Linked DNA regions of Oryctolagus cuniculus. The protein of the gene in region 1 purifies or fractionates together with the protein of each later gene. This does not show direct contact. Links are inferred from orthologs where the notes say so. Each region holds a gene or a part of one and is shown on either strand. Other genes may lie near its edges.

Evidence for each region. Proteins that work in one complex are often made in the same cells at the same time.
Region 2: the proteins of PFDN5 (region 1) and PFDN6 purify together in Homo sapiens (affinity purification with mass spectrometry; 5 studies listed by BioGRID and IntAct, with this or other methods). This does not show direct contact. The link is inferred for Oryctolagus cuniculus from reciprocal best matches to the Homo sapiens genes PFDN5 and PFDN6.
Region 3: the proteins of PFDN5 (region 1) and PFDN1 purify together in Homo sapiens (affinity purification with mass spectrometry; 7 studies listed by BioGRID and IntAct, with this or other methods). This does not show direct contact. The link is inferred for Oryctolagus cuniculus from reciprocal best matches to the Homo sapiens genes PFDN5 and PFDN1.

What each region holds. Positions count from the first base shown.
Region 1 is NC_091442.1:56,307,166-56,311,312, forward strand, and holds the start of PFDN5 (prefoldin subunit 5), read left to right. Parts: upstream 1-1,347; 5' UTR 1,348-1,433; coding exon 1,434-1,505; intron 1,506-1,683; coding exon 1,684-1,786; intron 1,787-1,947; coding exon 1,948-1,979; intron 1,980-4,116; coding exon 4,117-4,147. UniProt on the Homo sapiens protein: Binds specifically to cytosolic chaperonin (c-CPN) and transfers target proteins to it. Binds to nascent polypeptide chain and promotes folding in an environment in which there are many competing pathways for nonnative proteins.
Region 2 is NC_091436.1:135,834,645-135,837,484, forward strand, and holds PFDN6 (prefoldin subunit 6), read right to left. Parts: upstream 1,663-2,840; 5' UTR 1,405-1,662; coding exon 1,341-1,404; intron 1,140-1,340; coding exon 1,069-1,139; intron 989-1,068; coding exon 864-988; intron 693-863; coding exon 563-692; 3' UTR 501-562; downstream 1-500. Other genes in the region: WDR46 (WD repeat-containing protein 46), read left to right, coding at 2,062-2,130, 2,227-2,439, 2,552-2,632, 2,783-2,840. UniProt on the Homo sapiens protein: Binds specifically to cytosolic chaperonin (c-CPN) and transfers target proteins to it. Binds to nascent polypeptide chain and promotes folding in an environment in which there are many competing pathways for nonnative proteins.
Region 3 is NC_091437.1:27,961,788-27,965,860, forward strand, and holds the start of PFDN1 (prefoldin subunit 1), read right to left. Parts: upstream 2,801-4,073; 5' UTR 2,653-2,800; coding exon 2,620-2,652; intron 1-2,619. UniProt on the Homo sapiens protein: Binds specifically to cytosolic chaperonin (c-CPN) and transfers target proteins to it. Binds to nascent polypeptide chain and promotes folding in an environment in which there are many competing pathways for nonnative proteins.

The DNA of each region.
Region 1 (4,147 bases):
TATAGTAGGTTAAGCCTCTGCCTGTGGTGTCTGCATCCCATATGGGCACTGGTTCGAGTCCTGGCTGCTCCACTTCCGATCCAGCTCTCTGCTATGGCCTGGGAAAGCAGAAGATGGCCCAAGTCCTTGGGCCCCTGCACCCATTGGAAAACCTGGAAGAAGCTCCTGGCTTTGGATCCACACAGCTCCAGCTGTTGCAGCCATTTTGGGAGTGAACCAGATGGAAGACCTTTCTCTGTGTCTCTACCTCTCAAATAGGTCTTTAAAAAAAAAAAAAAGTTTTAATTTATTTGAAAGAGGAGAGCGAGAGATCTCATCTGCTGGTTTGCTCCCCAAGTGACCACAATGGCCAGGGCTGGCCAGGCCAAAACTAGGAGCTTAATCTGGGTCTCCCACACAGGGGCCCGAGGACTCAGGCTATCTTCCCATCTCCCACTGCTTTCCCAGGCACATTAGCAGGGAGCTGGATCAGAAGTGGAGCAGCCGGAACTCAAACTAGCACCCATTTGGGATGCTGTCATAGTAGGCGGCTGCCTAACCTGCTATGCCACATTTGCCCTAGCAGCTCAGGTGGGTGTATCCCACCTTGGAGTGCCTGGATTCAATTCCCATCAGGAATTCCGGGCATCCTAGGAAACAACACATAGACCTTGGCCTCCCAGAACACACACCCACATGTAAGCCAGAACCCCAGGAAATAACCCATGTAGGTTCTGGGCTCCAAGGAAACAAGATGTGTTCATAGCACAGCACCTGGTTTGAGTCCCAGCTACTCTACATTTCCAATGCAGCTTCCTGAAGGCAGCAGATGATAACTGAAGTACTTGGGCCCAGCACCCAATGCGGCCGACCAGGATGGCGTTCCAGGCTCCGTCTAGCTAGCGCAGGTAACACATGCTACGGAGTGACACCTTGTGCTATGCTTGTTGGCTGACTGTGGCTTTTTTTTTTTTTTTTTTCAATTTTTCACAGTTCACAAAACATTTATTGTGTGACGTTCAGACTGCGGCTTTTTAATCCTCTCCACTTCCAGACTCTCCCCTGCGTCTGCTCCAAGCAGCATTTTCATGATGCTCCTCTGCGACAAGGGACAAGGGGCCCGACCAGCTGCCCCCCACCACGCACACAGCTGTCGGTCACTAGATTTACACGCTGCCTTACAGGATTGTGGCTGTGTCCTGAGCACTTCAGGATTTTCAACTTCCTGGAGGACAGGCATCATGGCTTGCTACAACTTTATTGGACTAGGCTTAGACTATCCCGTGACTCTCAACACAAGGTGCACCTGAGCGGCTCCAGCGCCTCCCTCCCTTGCGGGTCATAGAGACGTCCGGCGCAGCGAGGCCGCCGGGCACGGCCATAGAGACGCGCAGGAGACGGCTAGAGCGTCGCTCACGCGGCCGGCTTCCTCTCGGCTACTCCTCCGTCCCAACATGGCGCAGTCGATCAACATCACGGAGCTGAACCTGCCGCAGCTAGAAATGCTCAAGAACCAGCTGGATCAGGTGGGGATGGAGCCCGAGCAACACCTTTCGCGCGCTCCACATCCCGTCGGCCACACGCAGCCTCTCGCCCCCCACCCCGTTCCTTTCCAGTTTGAGCCGTTTCCCTTCCCCGGCTCCCAGGGTCCGCCCCTCTCGGGCCCCGGGTCCTCAGCCGGCCCCGCTTTCCCGTCCCGTGTAGGAGGTGGAGTTCTTGTCCACGTCCATCGCCCAGCTCAAGGTGGTACAGACCAAGTACGTGGAAGCCAAGGACTGTCTGAACGTGCTGAACAAGAGCAACGAGGGTATGCGGCGTAGGAGCGGGCAACGCGGGGACCGCGGCGGCGAGAGGACCGGGCGCTGCGCGCTGAGCGCCGCTGCACGCGCCCTGTGCATGCTGCCGGGCTCTGAACTCCCTTTACGGCTGCCAGCCTGCCCACGCTGTTTGTCTTCATTGCTTTCACAGGGAAAGAACTGCTCGTCCCACTGACAAGTTCCGTATCCTTTCCACTGGGATTGCTACCGCGCCGCCTCCCGGGGGCGGGGCGGACACCGTAGAACTCCCCCTTGATTTTTTTTTTTAATTTGAAAGGCAGAGTTAGAGAGAGGCAGAGAGAGAGTGGCCTTCCATCCGTTGGTTAATTGCCCAATTGGCCGCAATGGCCAGTGCTGTGCCGATCCGAAGCCAGGAGCTTCTTCCGGGTCTCCCACACGGGTGCAGGGGCCCAAGGACTTTGGCCATCTTCCACTGCTTTCCCAGGCCACAGCAGAGAGCTGGATTGGAAGTGGAGCAGCCGGGACTCAAACCTGCGCCCACATGGGAAGCGGCACTGCAGGCAGCGGCTTTACTGGCTACCCCCTCCCCCCAGTGATTTTGAGAGGGCTCTTGTTGTACACACTTCGTAGCCTCAGGTCGACATCCAGCTCATGCCTTCTGAGTGCCAAGGGATATGGTATGTAGAGTTGTGGTCTCCCCCCCATGCTGTTAGAGGCCATGAATATGAAGAAAAAGCTGATCTTCTTTTGCTAGTATTAAACAGGGAGGTTGGCTCTGTTCATTAACCCTAAATTTCACTTTCCCCGTGGCCCATTCCTCAGCTGCTGGAAGGAGCCTGGGTTAGGCTCACCTGCTGGGGGTTGACCTGGAATGAGCAGGTTCTGGCAGTGGCGAACCTGCGGTGCGTAGCTGGCGTTTGGGAAAGGGCACAGGAACGGCGGTGTAGCAGTGAATGGGCATGAGCCACTTCGTGATGGGGGACGATGAGGGGACATGAAGCTGGCTCTTCACGGGGTCCACTCCAGGCAGGGGGAGACCATCACCAAATCCAGTCTTTGCCGAGGAGTCCTTGGGAGGAGTTACAACAATCGCTTGGAGGGCGGGAGATGGAGTCGGGGCTAGAGTTCCAGCACAAGCCAGCTTTCTCCAAAAGGAGCCAGCATCTTTGCGGCTGCCTTTTGGGGGCTTCAGGCATACTTCTTTTCTTTTCTTCTTTTCTTTTCTTTTCTTTTCTTTTCTTTTCTTTTTTCTTTCTTTCTTCTTTCTTTTCTTTCTTTCTTTCTTTCTTTCTTTTTTTTTTTTTTTTTGACAGAGTTAGAGAGACAAAGGTCTTCCTTTTTCCGATGGGTCATCCCCCAAATGGCCGCTATGGCCGGCACACTGCGCCGATCCGAAGCCAGGAGCTGGGTACTTCCTCCCGGTCTCCCATGCGGGTGCAGGGCCCAATCACTTGGGCCATCCTCCACTGCCTTCCCGGGCCACAGCAGAGAGCTGGCCTGGAAGAGGAGCAACCGGGACAGAATCCAGTGCCCCAACCGGGACTAGAACCTGGGGTGCCGGCGCTGCAGGCGGAGGATTAGCCTAGTGGGCTGTAGCACTGGCTTTCAGGCATATTTCTAAGGCCTCCAGATTACTCAGTCCTTACCCCTTGTGGTTTGTTTTAAAAAAAAGACGGTCAGGGCCAGCACTGTGGTGCAACAAATTAACCCACGGCCTGCAGCACCCGCCTTTGTTGGTTCAAGTCCTGGCTGCTCCACTTCTTTAGAAAAAAAAAAAAAAAGACATTTATTTATTTGAGAGGCAGAGTTACAGACAGAGGGAGTGAGAGACAGAGACTGGAAAGCCCTTCCATCCACTGGTTCACTCCACAATGGCTGCAACAGCCAGAGCAGCGCCAACCTGAAGCCAGGAGCTTCTTCCAGGTCTCCCACGTGGGTACAGGGGCCCAAGCACTTGGGCCATCCTCTACTGCTTTCCCAGACCACAGTAGAGAGCTGGATTGGAAGAGGAGCAGCTGAGACTTGAACCAGCACCCATATGGATGCTGGCTCTGCAGGTGGAGGCTTAGCCCCACTACACCACAGCGCCAGTCCTGGCCAACTTCTGATCCAGCTCCCTGCTGATGCGCCTGGGTAAGCAGCAGCAGATGGCCCAAGTGTTTGGGCCCCTGCAGACCCAGAAGAAGCTCCAGCCGGCTAGTTGCGGCCACTTGAGGAGTGAATAGATCTCTCTCTGTAACTCTGCCTTTCAAATAAATTAATTAAAAAAGAAAGAAAGAAGCCGTAGGAGGCCAAGCAGCTGGCCCACAGGGACTCGGGGCTCATGCTGGGCTGGTTCCCCTTAACCCTTGCCTCGCAGATGTACGTCCCTGGCAAGCTGCACGACGTGG
Region 2 (2,840 bases), on another chromosome or scaffold:
GTTATTTTGGTACAGAAGCTTTGGAGTCATGCATGTGATGGGTCTTCAAAGAGTACATGGAAAATGCATGATTCAAAATGTCTTGCATGGAAATATTTTTATTGAGAAGCAGAGTCAAAAGCCCCCACCTGCTGTAACCCAACCTTTTATTTCCATTTTCCCATGAGCCCTACGGAGCACTTGTATTCACAGCAAGGGGAGGAGTCACATTTCATCCTGGGTTCTCAGAGAATTCTGAGTTCTTCAATTTAAACGACACTCCCAACAATATGCTTAGGTTGTAAATGTCCTTGTGTTTCCTAAAAGGCCGTGTCTTAGGAAAATAACGGAGAATTAAGGGCTGTACATACGAGTACAGGTGAGGAGCAGCTTTGAGACATTTTAGAGTTTAGTTCCAGAGACTGCAGGTGCTGGAATGTGGGCTTGAGGGAGTAACAGTGGTGTGTGGTGTGTGGGTCAGGTGATGGAGGCCGGGGGAACAGACAAGCAGGACAACAGAGCCAGGTGTTTACATTTTATTAGGTACTTAGAGTGGCCCATCCCACCCCGCCCCGCCCCGAGGTCAGGCCTTCCCGGGAGCCCCTGCCTTGGCCGCCTGGGCCCGCTGGAACTCCTGCTGCAGCTGGGCCAGGGTCTCCCTCTGCTGCTCTGACTGCCGTTCCAGGTCCCGGAGCTGGGATTCGTATCGCTTACTGAGGAGAGGCCAGGGGCCAGAGAAGACAGGGAGAAGTTAGAGGGACTTGCTAGGGGGAGGGGCAGGCCGCGTTAAAAGGGGAGGCTTCCGTGGGCTGCTCCGAAGGGCAATCCACTCAGGTCCCCAGCACCCGCCGGCCGACAGCCAGGGCAGTGGGACAAAAACTCACATTTCAGCTGTGATGTAGTCCAGCCTCTTCCCCACCGTGGCCCGCGCCTCCCCCAGCTCCTGCTTAACCAGCACCGGCCCCAGCAGTTTAAAGACCACGTTGGACCCGTCCAGCAGAGCCAGTTCCTGGTGGGCGAGCGGGACGGGTCTGATCAGAACCGCAGCCGGTCCAGGCTGCTCCGCCCCCACAACTCCCGGCCCCTCACCTCCTTCACGATGTTGTTTTCCGTTAGTTGGGCTTCAAGCTTCTGCCTCCCTGACATGGATTTACTCAAGTCTAGGGAGGAAGGGAGACGTGAGTGGGACACCAAGAGTGCCACGGGCTCCCACAGTCCTGGCCCAGAAGGCGGATGTGAGGAAGCAGACCGGGAAGAAGGGGCGAGTATACAGGCGGGGAAGGAGCGGGCCGGCTGGGGCGGAGAGCTCGTTTCGGCTAGTCTGCGGGCTGCGGCGAGACTACGCCCACCCGGTCCCTTACCCTTCTGTAGCTGTTGATACTTCTCCACTTCTCCCTGCAGCTTCTTCTGGATCAGCTCGGCCATGGCGGGGATGAAAGCCTGCGGGAACGGGAGAGGGGCGCTGGGGTCGAGCTCCCCTTTCTGGTCGGGCCGACGGAAATGACAGTCCTCTTGAGAGGCAGTCCTTCGGGGCACCGCGGCCTCTCCCTGTCCGGGAAGTCGAATCGACCCGACCCCAGTGGGTGCAGGACGAAAAGAAACGCAAAACCCCTGAAACGGTACCCTAACCTACTCACGTTCTCCCTTCTGTATTAATCAACCCGGAAGTAAACATGGAATGCTGGGAAAATCAATCCGGAAGTTGCCTCCAGGTTGCATGTCGGGAAATGTAGTTCTAACATTTTTAATAAGCGGCATTCGGCTGAAATGACTGGACTCAGAAGGTTTTAGGCAAGACAGAGAAGTTAATCCGGAAAAAGACTATTCTGTTACTGGTTTCTGGCCCGGACTTGACTTTTTTTCCCCATTCCTCGGGTATAAGCTGCGGCGCCCGAGGGAGATGCCACAGCACGCCCCGCCCCTTAAAGGAGAGTGTGCCCTCACTCAAGATGGCGTGCTCAAGACTTCAGCCCTGGAACGATGCTGATTGGCTGAGGCGGAACAGAGGACTTCCGGGAGAGTCTAAGCCGACTGTGGGACAGCTGAGAGATTTGCACGTGGATCGTTGTTCCAGTGGGCGAGATGGAGACAGTCCCAAAGGCCAGTCAGGATGCCCCACCCAAGAAGGACAAACCTCAGGCCAAGAGGAAGGTACAGGCTTCTCTGGACGGGCAGGGAGGTTTTAGCTGTGGGGTTCGGGGGCGGGACGTGGGCCGCGGAGTTCCAGGGCTCCTGATCTGCCCGTAGAAACCGCGGCGATACTGGGAAGTGGACACCACTCCGAGCGCCACCGGCGCCTCTCCAGGCCCGCCTCCTAAGAAGAAGCGGAACCGGGAGCTCCGGCCCCAGAGACCAAAGAACACTCAGGTCACAAAGAAGTCGCGCATCTCCAAGAAGACCCTGGTCGCGAGGAAGTCTCGAGGGCCGAAGAAGCCGGAGCCCCAGCGGAGCTTGTCTGGGGTGAGCCTGCACCGCGGCAGGGTGGCGGGGGCAGGTTTCTCTGTGCTTTGCGAGTGAAAGGGTTGGGGGGTCAGCCCGAAGCTGTGAGCTGACTGCCTCCTCTCTGCCCCAGGCCCAGGACCCCTTCCCGGGCCCCGCCCCCGTCCCGGTGGAGGCAGCCCGGAAGTTCCGTCGCATTGACAAATCTAAAAAGGTGAGAATCGCTGGACGGTGGGGAAGGACTGGAGGCTGGGAGCGCCTGGGTGAGAAGGATGGAGGTGGGGCCCGGTGGCTCTGCTGTGATTCTCCGTGTTCTCCCTCCGCTCCTCCTCCTCCTCCTCCTCCACTCCCAACGCTGTTGTAGCTGCCGCCTTCCAAGTCCAAGACGCGCAGCAGACTTGAGGCAGCTGAAGCTGAGGAAG
Region 3 (4,073 bases), on another chromosome or scaffold:
TCTAGCAAAGTTTCAGAAGATTTACTTTGGGGAAGAAGAGATGTCTATATTTCCTATTAAATACCACTCAAAAAAATAGCTTATGAAGACATTAGGAAATAAAACTGATACACGGAGCCAATGCTAGGGCACTGAAGGTTGAGCCTGCAGCAATGCCATCGAATTCTGGCTGTTCCACTTCTGATCCAGCTTCCTGCTAGCTAGGGTGCCTGAGAAGGCAGTGGAGGATGGCTCAAGTCGTTGGGCCCCTGCACCAACATGGGAGACCAGGAAGAAACTCCTGGCTTTGGCCTGGCCCAGCTCCACCATTGCAGACATCTAGGGAATCAATCAATGGATTCTCTCTCTGCTTCTGCCTCTCCCTCCCTTTCAAATAAATAAATCTTTAAAAAAGAAAAAAAAAAAAAACTGATATACGTTTCCTTGTTAATTGGTTGTCAAAATTATTCAACTTGTCTATAATTTTTTTTTTTTTTTGACAGGCAGAGTTAGAAAGTGAGAGAGACAGAGAGAAAGGCCTTCCTTCCGTGGGTTCACCCCCCAAATGGCCGCTGTGGCCGGTGTGCTGTGCCGATCCAAAGCCAGGAACCAGGTGCTTCCTCCTGGTCTCCCATGCGGGTGCAGGGCCTAAGCACTAGGGCCATCCTCCACTGCACTCCCGGGCCACAGCAGAGAGCTGGCCTGGAAGAGGGGCAACCGGGACAGAATCCGGCACCCCAACCGGGACTAGAACCCGTGGTGCCAGCGCCGCAGGCAGAGGATTAGCCTAGTGAGCCATGGCGCCGGCCTATAATTTTTTTCTTAGTTTGTATTAATTGTTTACTTGTTTCTTATCAATAAATTCAAAGAGTACTGGGAAGCAAGCCCTTTCACAGTTAATACTTTTGATAGTTCTTCATCAAAATCTTGGTTTCTGCAGCACCGGTTCTAGTCCCAGCTGCTCCTCTTTCAATCCAACTCTCTGCTATGTCCTGGGAAAGCAGCAGAAGATGGCCCAAGTCCTTGGGCCCCTGTACCCACGCAGGAGACCTGGAATAAGCTCCTAGCTCCTGGCTCCTGGCTTTGGATGGGTTCAGTTGCGGCCACTTACGGAGTGAACCAGTGGATGGAAGGCCTCTCTCTATCACTCCCTCTCACCTTCTGTAATTCTTCCTCTCAAAAAAAATATTTTTTAAAAAATCTTGGTTTAAGGCCAGCGCAGCGGCTCACTAGGCTAATCCTCCGCCTAGCGGCGCTGGCACACAAGGTTCTAGTCCCAGTTGGGGCGCCGGATTCTGTCCCGGTTGCCCCTCTTCCAGGCCAGCTCTCTGCTGTGGCCAGGGAGTGCAGTGGAGGATGGCCCAGGTGCTTGGGCCCTGCACCCCATGGGAGACCAGGAAAAGCATCTGGCTCCTGGCTCCTGCCACCGGATCAGCGCGGTGCGCCGGCCGCAGCGGCCATTGGAGGGTGAACCAACGGCAAAGGAAGACCTTTCTCTCTGTCTCTCTCTCACTGTCCACTCTGCCTGTCAAAAATAAATAAATAAATAAATAAAACTTGGTTTAAGTTTACACTTTTAATGGAAAAAAGGGTAAATTTTTCAGAAAACACAATTTTATTCTGAAATGTAAAATTTCAGGTATTTTCTGACTGTTCTATACAGTTTATGGAGGAAGATATAGCCAAGATATTAGAGAACAGCATGTAAAAGCAACTTACAAGTTTCAAGACAAGAGCAGCAGAAGAAACGAGACGCAAACACCTTTAAAACAGTAACAGCTTCATTTAATAAGAGCTATTTCAGCTGCCCTATTTCTAATGCAAAGACTGTTCAGATGTTTTCCATGAAGAACTTAAACTACTGGTCAAAAAAACCTGTAAGAGAACATGGTATTCTAATTCCACTCTTTGAGACTTCTCTAGAGTTGTTTCCCTTTCTAGAAAAGTAGATTTAAATCCTATGCAGTCCAGGGTCCTTTCCAATCCGCCCTCGCCCCCCAAAGCACACGTTTTGAGTCGGCAGTGGAGTTAGAATCCTGACTGCTCTCCGGTACCAAACATTTATAAGCAATTGTTTGAACAGAAGAAACGCAATTCCTTCTCAAAATGCTTTTATTTGGCAAACTCTGCTGCTCCTTTTTTTAGACAAGCCCTTCGCAAAAGGAGGGGAGGAGGAGAGGGGACAATGCCTTCCTGCGGCTTTTCAAGGTACAGGATGGGAATAAATGGCTTTAAAACAGGTGTTGGGTTTTTTCTCCCGAATTAAATGAGGCAGAATTACACACGCCTCAGCCCCAGGCAACCGCACCAAAGAGGTTTTAAGACGTTGTCTTCTGTTCTTACCATGAAACTGAGCCCCTGAAGGCTCCAAACGCAACGAAATAGCTCTGGGGCTCAGAACAAACGGGTAAGCTCGCACTCGGACCCGGCCCGGCTCAACTAGCTCCCACCCAGCAAGAGCCGCTAGCTGCCCACTCGGCTCAAGGAGGCCCCGCGGCGCCTCAGGCCTCCGGGAAAACATTCCCCAGTCCTCCAGCGCCTCTTTGCTCCCGCAAACATTCAAGCCTCACTCGATATTCCTGTCCACAGTCCCTTCGGCCTCCAAAGAGAAGCCTCTGCCTGCTCAAGACCCTCTTTTACCTTCTTCAACTCCAGATCCACGGGGGCCGCCATCTTGATGCACCCCTCTGCGCCTGCGCATTGGAAGAAGGCCGGAAAGGGGTGGGGGAAGGGCTGCGTTTTGATGGGTCGCCCTCCTAATGCGCCTGCGCCTGCGTGCCGCTAATCGGGTTTGTTTCCCTGTTGCGGAGCGGGTTACTCTAAATATTCAAGATTCCGATTCAATTTGTCTTCCCTTGCTGACCTATCAGGTCTGGCTTGTTCCTCCACATCTTCCAGACACAGCCCAACGTGTAGATTTCGCTTGTGGCTTTGAACAGTTTGATAGTTTTTCTACTCAATTGAGAAGTGCGTGGATCAGGTCAAACCCTCATCAGTTATTCAGTCCTACAGCTCGTCCTGTGCTGTCAGAGATGAGTAAGAAGGGACCCCAGACCTCAGGCCTAACCATATGGAGAAGACTATTAGAAGGCTTGGGTTTTCCACCAAAGAACTCATTTCTACTGAATGCTCCCAAAGACTTTCTAGATTAGAGATTCTCGAGGGAGGTGATATGTTTGATTTTTGGAAAAATTTTTGGAAAAATGTTTAGTACAGTGGCTAAGACATCAGCATCTCATACTGGAGTGTATGGGTTTGAATCCTGATTAGGCTTCCAATTCTGGTTTCCTGCTAATGAACACCCTGAAAGGCCTTAGTAATGGATCGAGTAATAGGGTTCCTGCCACCCATATGGCAGACCTGAATTGGCCAGCTTTGTTCTGGCCAATCCTGGCACTTGAGGACTTTTGTAGAATGAATCAGTGGAAGGAATCAAGATTTCTCTCTCTCCCTCTCTCTCTCTCTCTCTCTCTCTCTCTCTTTCAAATAATAGTAATAAATGTTAAATAATATAGATTCTTAGGTCTCATTCCAAGCTTATTCAGAATCTTTGAGGGCTTAAAAATTTGCAATTATCCTAACTCCCCATGACCTGGTGGCGCAAAAGTTGTCTACAGAACACATTTGGAGAACCTCTGCTATAAAAGGACCTAGCATTTGAAACAGGCAATTGGGTTTGAGTCCCGGCTGCTCCACTTGTGATCCACCTTTCTGCTGTGGCCTGGGAAAGCAGTAGAAGATGGCTTAACTCCTTGGGCCCCTGCACCCGTGTGGAGACCCAGGGGAGGCTCCCGGCTCCTGGCTTCAGATTTGCTCAGCTCTGGCCGTTGCGGTCATTTCCGGAGTGAACCAGCACATGGAAGACCTCTCTGGCTCTACCTCTCTCTGTAACTCTGTCTTTCAAATTAAAAAATAATAATTCTTTAAAAAAAAAAAAAAGAAAGAAAGAAAGGGACCAGCGCCGCGGCTCACTAGGCTAATCCTCCGCCTAGTGGCGCCGGCACAATGGGTTCTAGTCCCGGTCGGGGCGCCGGATTCTGTCCCAGTTGCCTCTCTTCCAGGCCAGCTCTCTGCTGTGGCCAGGGAGTGCAGTG